Linked DNA regions of Xenopus tropicalis. The protein of the gene in region 1 interacts with the protein of each later gene in a pairwise test. Links are inferred from orthologs where the notes say so. Each region holds a gene or a part of one and is shown on either strand. Other genes may lie near its edges.

What was found. The genes of interacting proteins can lie anywhere in the genome.
Region 2: the proteins of nr4a1 (region 1) and prdx4 interact in a two-hybrid assay, tested with the Homo sapiens proteins (2 studies listed by BioGRID and IntAct). The link is inferred for Xenopus tropicalis from reciprocal best matches to the Homo sapiens genes NR4A1 and PRDX4.

Annotation. Positions count from the first base shown.
Region 1 is NC_030678.2:135,308,912-135,312,665, reverse strand, and holds the start of nr4a1 (nuclear receptor subfamily 4 group A member 1), read right to left. Parts: upstream 2,327-3,754; 5' UTR 2,165-2,326; coding exon of another isoform or gene 2,146-2,164; intron 1-2,145. UniProt on the Homo sapiens protein: Orphan nuclear receptor. Binds the NGFI-B response element (NBRE) 5'-AAAGGTCA-3'. Binds 9-cis-retinoic acid outside of its ligand-binding (NR LBD) domain.
Region 2 is NC_030678.2:41,365,651-41,369,404, reverse strand, and holds the start of prdx4 (peroxiredoxin-4 precursor), read right to left. Parts: upstream 2,821-3,754; 5' UTR 2,748-2,820; coding exon 2,507-2,747; intron 1,324-2,506; coding exon 1,206-1,323; intron 1-1,205. UniProt on the Homo sapiens protein: Thiol-specific peroxidase that catalyzes the reduction of hydrogen peroxide and organic hydroperoxides to water and alcohols, respectively.

The DNA of each region.
Region 1 (3,754 bases):
TCACAAACGGCTTCTTCCAGGGGCATAAATATGGAAGGAGCAGACCCAGGCAGTGCTGGAGGGTGGGGGCTAGGAGGTTTAGGAGGCCCCGTGGCACTGACTGAGGAGCATTTTACCTATATTTCAATATATATGCTCAAACAAACAACAAGTGTATTATACTTTTCCTTAAGATGCAAACTCAATATTACCTTGTACTTACAAACTAAGACGTAATTGGAGGCAAAACAATCCTATTGGGTTTAATTCACATTTAAATAATAGTAGTTTAAATAATAGCAATTTTTGAGGTATAGAGAACAAAATTATGGAAAGATCTGGAAATCCCCAGGTCCCAAACATTCTGGATAATAGGTCCCACACCTGTACCAGCTTTTGTATATAACAGTGTATCTGAAAGATACGTACTAATTCTACCACATTTTAGCCTGTATGTGTAAAAACTGCTAGGTTCTGGCAGAAAACCTGTTGAATTAAAATATTTAAGCGTCTACAGAAATCCTTTGGAAGAAAAGCTGAAACTTGCCATCCAACTTCTTGAAGTTCACACCCCATGACAGTATGTCACTCCAATAAGCAGGGTGTCGATTGACAGCTCAGCTTCCCATGATTATCTGCACTGACTTGTGTCATAGAAGTCAAGTGATTCCTATGATACAGCAAACTGTACTTGCCCAAAGACAAATTGGCGGCTTGCTTCAGAAGCCTTTAATTGCAGAAAGGACTGTAGATCAGAAAGTAATTTGAAGCAAAACATATGTTTAGTGCAATTCTGTAACAATCTTTATGTTTTATAAAACTAATATTCAGAATGGGGCTGCTGCTTTCACAAAATAAGAAATTGTTTTATCTATAGCTCAGAGCCATCTCCCATCATCATTGTTTTCAATGGATGGTCAACACTTGTTTCCCCCTGTGAGGTGCACTAGAGGGAGGCCTGCCGATTTGTTGTTTAGCTGTCGACAAAGGCCATATTGATCCAACACAACAAGACTGTTTTAGAAGCCTTATAGGTTAGAGACTTCCCCACGGGAAATGCAACCAGTACGAAGAGATAGGGAACTGCAGAGAGCCAAGAAAGCACTTTGCACAAGAACACAAAAGCACTGCAGCCCATTTGTCCCAGAAAGGTCAACCCTCCCTTTAATGTATCTGAGTTTCTCATTTACAGTAAGAAAAAAAAAAAGATTAGATCTTTATACTTCTGGACTTTCTTAGCGTGCATATCCTTATATATAACAGCAAGCTGATGGGAGAGTATATATATATATATATATATATATATATATATATATATATATATATGAAATGGCTGCTGACTGCAAAATTTGATGGAAGCAACAAAACAAGGGTTAAAAACAGAAACCATTAAGGAGCCTAGGTTGTGCAAATGAAACACATTTCATAAGGAAAGCAACATGACCAGGATGAAAAAGGCCAAGCAAAAATCCAGTGCTACGTCCCACTGGCAGCCCTCTAGCTATTCCAGGATTACAACTCCCAGCAAGGGGTAGTTGCAAACAATTACTGTCAAGGGTCTGTGGGAGTTGCAGTTGCACAGCAGCTAAAGGGGCTACTGCTTGGCTGCCCTAATCTGCAGCTCAGGTCTATATTTGAGGGTGCACACTGGGGCAACAGAGCACAGGAAAGATCTATACATCTTGATGATCAGAAGCATGCATATCATATTGTTTGCAGGATATATCACTAATACATGACTTATTATGTATAGAGAGGGACACCATATAGGTGTGTGCAGAGAGTGCATTGCTATGAGCACATTATGAACAGGTCTCCGCTAAGGGAAGTACAAAGCAGAGATACAAAGCAGAGATACAAAGCAGAGAGCCTCTGCACCTGTTGCTGTACAAAGCAGCCAGAGCTGCCATCGAACCTCCCCAATGCACAGAGGCTCCTCTCAGCCTCAGCCTGTACAAGCAGTCTCCCCAAAGCCATCTCCTGGGGAAAAGGAGTAATTGTGCAGGTGATGCCCACTAACCTAGAAACAGGCATCTCAATGCCCTACTGACACGGTGCAAGCAATGCACACCCCATGCAGTCTATGCAAAGATCCCCACACAGCCAGCAGGAGCCATACACTCACATACATAGAAAATGATAATAACATAATCTGCAAATAATTACCTGTCCCCCTTGCATGCATGTCTACCTCCCAAAGGGATGTATCTAGATAGCTATTAACCCCTGTGGCACCTTGTGATTGGAATGGCAAGCTAAGCTGACATACCAGATCTCCCAGCTGTAAGTCCCCGGTACGGGCTGTCCGCTGGGGTCAGCGTGTTGCACGGTGCCAGTGAGAGGAATGGGTTACTGTGCTGTCGCTGTCTCCAAGCTCACTGGGATTCAGTCCTGCATCTACATGTTATTAAAGCCTCCGTGACGCACATGGGCGGGGCCCTGTCAGAGGGGGTGTGTGACGCACAAGGGTGATCCTGCTCCGTCCCCCATAGAAGGACACGGGGGGCGTGGCTTTTCCGGTAGCAGACAGGCAGCGTGCTCCTGGAATGTATCTGTGTGACGCAGGCTGTTTCCTATGACGCAGACAACATTGTTTGATCTATTAATAGGGCCCCACGCACTAAAAATAGCTCCGACCCTGAAATAGTAGTCAGCAGACGGGGGGGGACACCGCGCAAGGACGTCACCAGTAGTCGGATATAGCCCAGGGTACGAGGGTTCCCGGGGATTCTCTTCATATTTACCGCTGAAAGGATTCCATGGGCACTTAGGTTATGGAAAGGTGGCGGCCAGGTCTCGCCCTGTATTATGTGTCTGTGATGTAACGGCTTATTCCTAACGCGACATACTGTGGCCCTACTGTGTCTATAGTGACACCCATACTGTGGCCCTACTGTGTCTATAGTGACACCCATACTGTGGCCCTACAGTGTCTATAGCGACACCCATACTGTGGCCCTACAGTGTCTATAGCGACACCCATACTGTGGCCCTACAGTGTCTATAGCGACACCCATACTGTGGCCCTACAGTGTCTATAGCGACACCCATACTGTGGCCCTACAGTGTCTATAGCGACACCCATACTGTGGCCCTACTGTGTCTATAGCGACACCCATACTGTGGCCCTACTGTGTCTATAGCGACACCCATACTGTGGCCCTACTGTGTCTATAGCGACACCCATACTGTGGCCCTACTGTGTCTATAGCGACACCCATACTGTGGCCCTACTGTGTCTATAGCGACACCCATACTGTGGCCCTACTGTGTCTATAGCGACACCCATACTGTGGCCCTACTGTGTCTATAGCGACACCCATACTGTGGCCCTACTGTGTCTATAGCGACACCCATACTGTGGCCCTACTGTGTCTATAGCGACACCCATACTGTGGCCCTACTGTGTCTATAGCGACACCCATACTGTGGCCCTACTGTGTCTATAGCGACACCCATACTGTGGCCCTACAGTGTCTGTGGCCTACAGTGTCTATAGCGACACCCATACTGTGGCCCTAGTGTTTATAGTGACACCCATACTGTGGTTACTGTGGCCCTACAGTGTTTATAGACACCCATACTGTGGCCCTACTGTGTTTATAGTGACACCCATACTGTGGCCCTACAGTGTTTATAGTGACACCCATACTGTGGCCCTACTGTGTTTATAGTCAAACCCATACTGTGGCCCTACAGTGTTTATAGTGACACCCATACTGTGGCCCTACTGTGTTTATAGTGACACCCATACTGTGGCCCTACTGTGTTTATA
Region 2 (3,754 bases), about 94 Mb from region 1:
CTGCAAGGCCTGTATGGAGAAATCTGTATCCTTCTCTGTACAGCAGAGCTATGGCCTTCCAGTTACAGCCAGAAGTTGGAGGAAAGGATGTGAGAGTGAGATGTATGCATATTATATGTGAAATATAATACAGCAGTGTCCCTGTCACCCAATTGCCCTGTTATAAAAGTTACTACACAAAAAAAGAGGGAATTTATGTATTTATGCCTAAATCTTTGAAAATAATAAACATGCAGGGGGACATGGGTATTTTTCAAAGGGATAGTATACATTTATTGGTTAAAATTGTTTTGTTTTAATAAAGTTGATACAAATCTAACTGCTGGAATTCCCAATTTAACATTTGATCAGTCAACTCCAGGATAACATTTCTGCTGTCCATAAGCACCAATATACAAAATTGTTTTTTAGTTATATGGGGAAATGTAAGTTATCCTATAGAAGCTGGCAGTGCAGTGAAGCTTTATATTCTATTATATATATGTATCAGATCCTCACAGTAAATGATTAACAGTTTTGAAGCACAGCTGTAATTATTCACACACTGCACAACAGAATGCACGTAGGGCTTGATTTTATTCAACACAGTATATTATATATTTATTTCAAAGAACTAAAACTCAAAATTTTTATATAAGATTGCACAGACAAAAATGACAGGATTTGACCATGGTGTTTGTGTGATTACAGAAGGATACAGGAAAAAAATCAAAGGTTACTCCCAGACAGTTGCTGGGTCAGCAGGGTTAATGCATGCTATCAGTAGAAACAGAAATGGGGACATATAGCCAGGGGCAGACAGAAAGCTGATCCATTCAGTTTTGGATTAGTTCAGACTGAGATGGTGCTCTGTGGAACGGTTAGGATTTTGGCAGACTGGGTTGGGGTTTGGGCAGAATGGGAGCTAGCCTTTCAGGTGTGAGGAACGGTTTTCTGTGGTTGGTTGTTTGCAGTGGTTGGGTGTTGGCTGAAAGTACACTGCAGGTAAACAGTGTATAGGTGAAAGAGAAGGAAGGTATACAGAGGGTGAAGTGGGGTTTCTGGTAGGGCCAGTTACCCCAGTCCATCACTGGCAGGCCCCACTACTTCATACAGCAACCACGATAGGTCAAGAAAGATTAGAAGTGACCACTGGATTTAGCAATGCTGAGTAAATATGCAAAATACAAACAAAAATAAAAGGAGCAGATGAACATTATACTCACAAATCAAGAGGATAAAAAAAGAACACCAGATATTTCCCTTTATAATCTGTAAGTTTCAACTCTTTGAACTCTCCATTTATCACTGCTGTTCCTTCCCAGTATGGCGCAGGCTTGGAAACTACAGAAACGCAGAGACAAAACAGCAATTAGATATACTCATTTTTATTAGGGAGGAACTATAATGAAAATAAACATTTAATGCAAGAAACTTGCAAGTGCAAACATTTAAAAATTCTGCAAGTTTCTGAAATATTGAGAGACTCTTTACTACCCTCCACCCCACCCCATGCAGTCTGTCTGTACTTCCACATGCAGTCTTTTTCTTTATTGGCAGCTTATATAGATCATTGGCCTATGCTGCCTTTGGCTATCACTTGCCCATGCTAAATAAATCTGGAGCTTTCCCACTTCTAACTTGCACTGATTCAGTGTCGGACTGGCCCACCAGGATACCAGGAAAACTCCCGGTGGGCCCAGGTGTCAGTGGGCCCTCCTGCTCCTGAACATATGAGCTGCCTCATGGCCATTTTCTATTTCTGAATGGGAACAAAGAGGAGAAATAGATGGAAGAATAGATGCTAGCATGTAAATAAAAGAGACTAGGAGAATAAAGAGGAAAGGAGGAAAAATAGTTTGGAGAGTGGGCATTTGGTCTAAGGTTTTTCTGGTGGGCCCCTGAGGTCCCAGTCCGACACTGCACTGATTGCATTTGAGCAAACCGGCACTAAGTCTGCATTGTAGCGCAACAGAGGTGAAATAAGGAAATGGAGGGAGTCAAGATTAACTTGATTATTCCTGCATTGGGGGGGGAAGAAATGAAATGATTTCTGCAGTACACTGCCAGTCAGCTGTGTGTGTACTCTGGAGTTAGCTCAGCAACAGCTGGAGGGCTGCAAGTAAGGTAATCATTGGCAAATATAAGGGTTCCCACCCAGGGGGGCCCTCTGATAGTAGGACTGGACATTTGCCCATGCTTGTTCCTAGCAATTCTATAATAAGGCAGATGCACAAGCAGTGTGACAGGATCCAGCTGCATGCAGCCACAGCGACCAATAGGATTTGACTTACGTGTCCTTAGCCAATGGTATGTGCTACACAAAGCGCAGAGACTTTTGGCAGAGATGCAAAAGAAAAGCAGTGCCCCCCCTCACTGGGCAATACCCAGCAATACCCCGGTGTAATGCCAGCTTGCCAACCCACAGCATTGCCTACAACAAAGTCACTCGCTATCCCTTGGCCTGTGTCTCTGCGAGAGAATCGCTGGAAGGGCGGGAAGCAGCTTTGGGAGAACAATGACCCACTTTTTGCTTTGCTGAGGTGCAGAGAATGATCGGACACCGGCACACGGGTCGCCTCTCCGGGGTACACCTGTCCCCCTGCGTAGAAGTGACACTCTCCATCCGGGGCAGCGCGGCCAGGCCGGCCTTGAGGCTGCTCCTTCTCCTCCTGGGGCTCACAGGTGACAGCGGCGGCTGACAGCAAGAGAAGACACAGGCCGAGCACAGGGCTTCCCCTCAGGTAATGCCGGAGCAGCACAGCCATGATTGCACATACACAAGCTGAAGCGGCAAGCAGCACTCACAGATCCGGGAAGACAGACGTGCATGGAAATCCAGGAGGAGCAAGCATAAGGGCCGGCCCACAAGGCGTGGCTTAAACGTTAACTCTTTATAGTGCTGTCACTTATCTGTTATCAAAAGCAAAGTCATTAAACATTCAGAAAAAAAACAACTCTTTCAGTCCGTTTACACGAAATTGAACCAAATTTTCAATTTCTTTTACAATCTGCGTAAGACACCAGAATTTCTATTTTCGCCTGAGACGGGAGAGCAAAGAATCATGGGAGGTAGCCTTCTCTCGCGATATCATTTCCCCTCCTGCAGTGTTTGGTATGAGCGGGACAAGAGAGATTGCTGGAGAGGGAGAGATTACTTGGCAGTGTTTATAGGGGGGCGAAGTAGTAGGGAATAAATGGATCTGATAAAGCTGCCGCTTTCTGCAAAGAAGAGTCGTGTTACAGAGCTTCCATGCCCCTCATTCATGCAAAATAAATAAAATAGCTGATGTTATTCTATAATAAGTAGTATATATAAAGAGTTCCATTGATTAACGTAATTCAGTTTATAGGGGGTCAGTAGAGTTCCCTAAGTTAAACCCCCTCCCACCTACCTGCCCCTGCTCTGTGCTGTCATTGTTTGATATGGAACTGTGTAAGTTTAGGGGCCCAGTGATCTCACTGTGGGGCCCAGTAACCAGTCCTGTTCAGTAACTACTGAAAAGTTCATGTAGGAGGTACATTCATATAATGAAGTAGATAGATATCAATATAAAGTGCTAATTGGGGGGCAGTGGAATTTAACTTGTATTTTTAATTCATTGGTCAGCGGTGTTTAGTAGCTGTGAAAAAAAAGCTGCTACTAGTAGCTCCGTGTGTCTTCAGCCTTAAAGATTATAATCTCAATGATTAAAACTCCAGCCAATGCCAGCATGTGAATTACACACAAGCACATGATTAAAATAAAAGGAGGAATTAAAATAGAAAAAAAAGT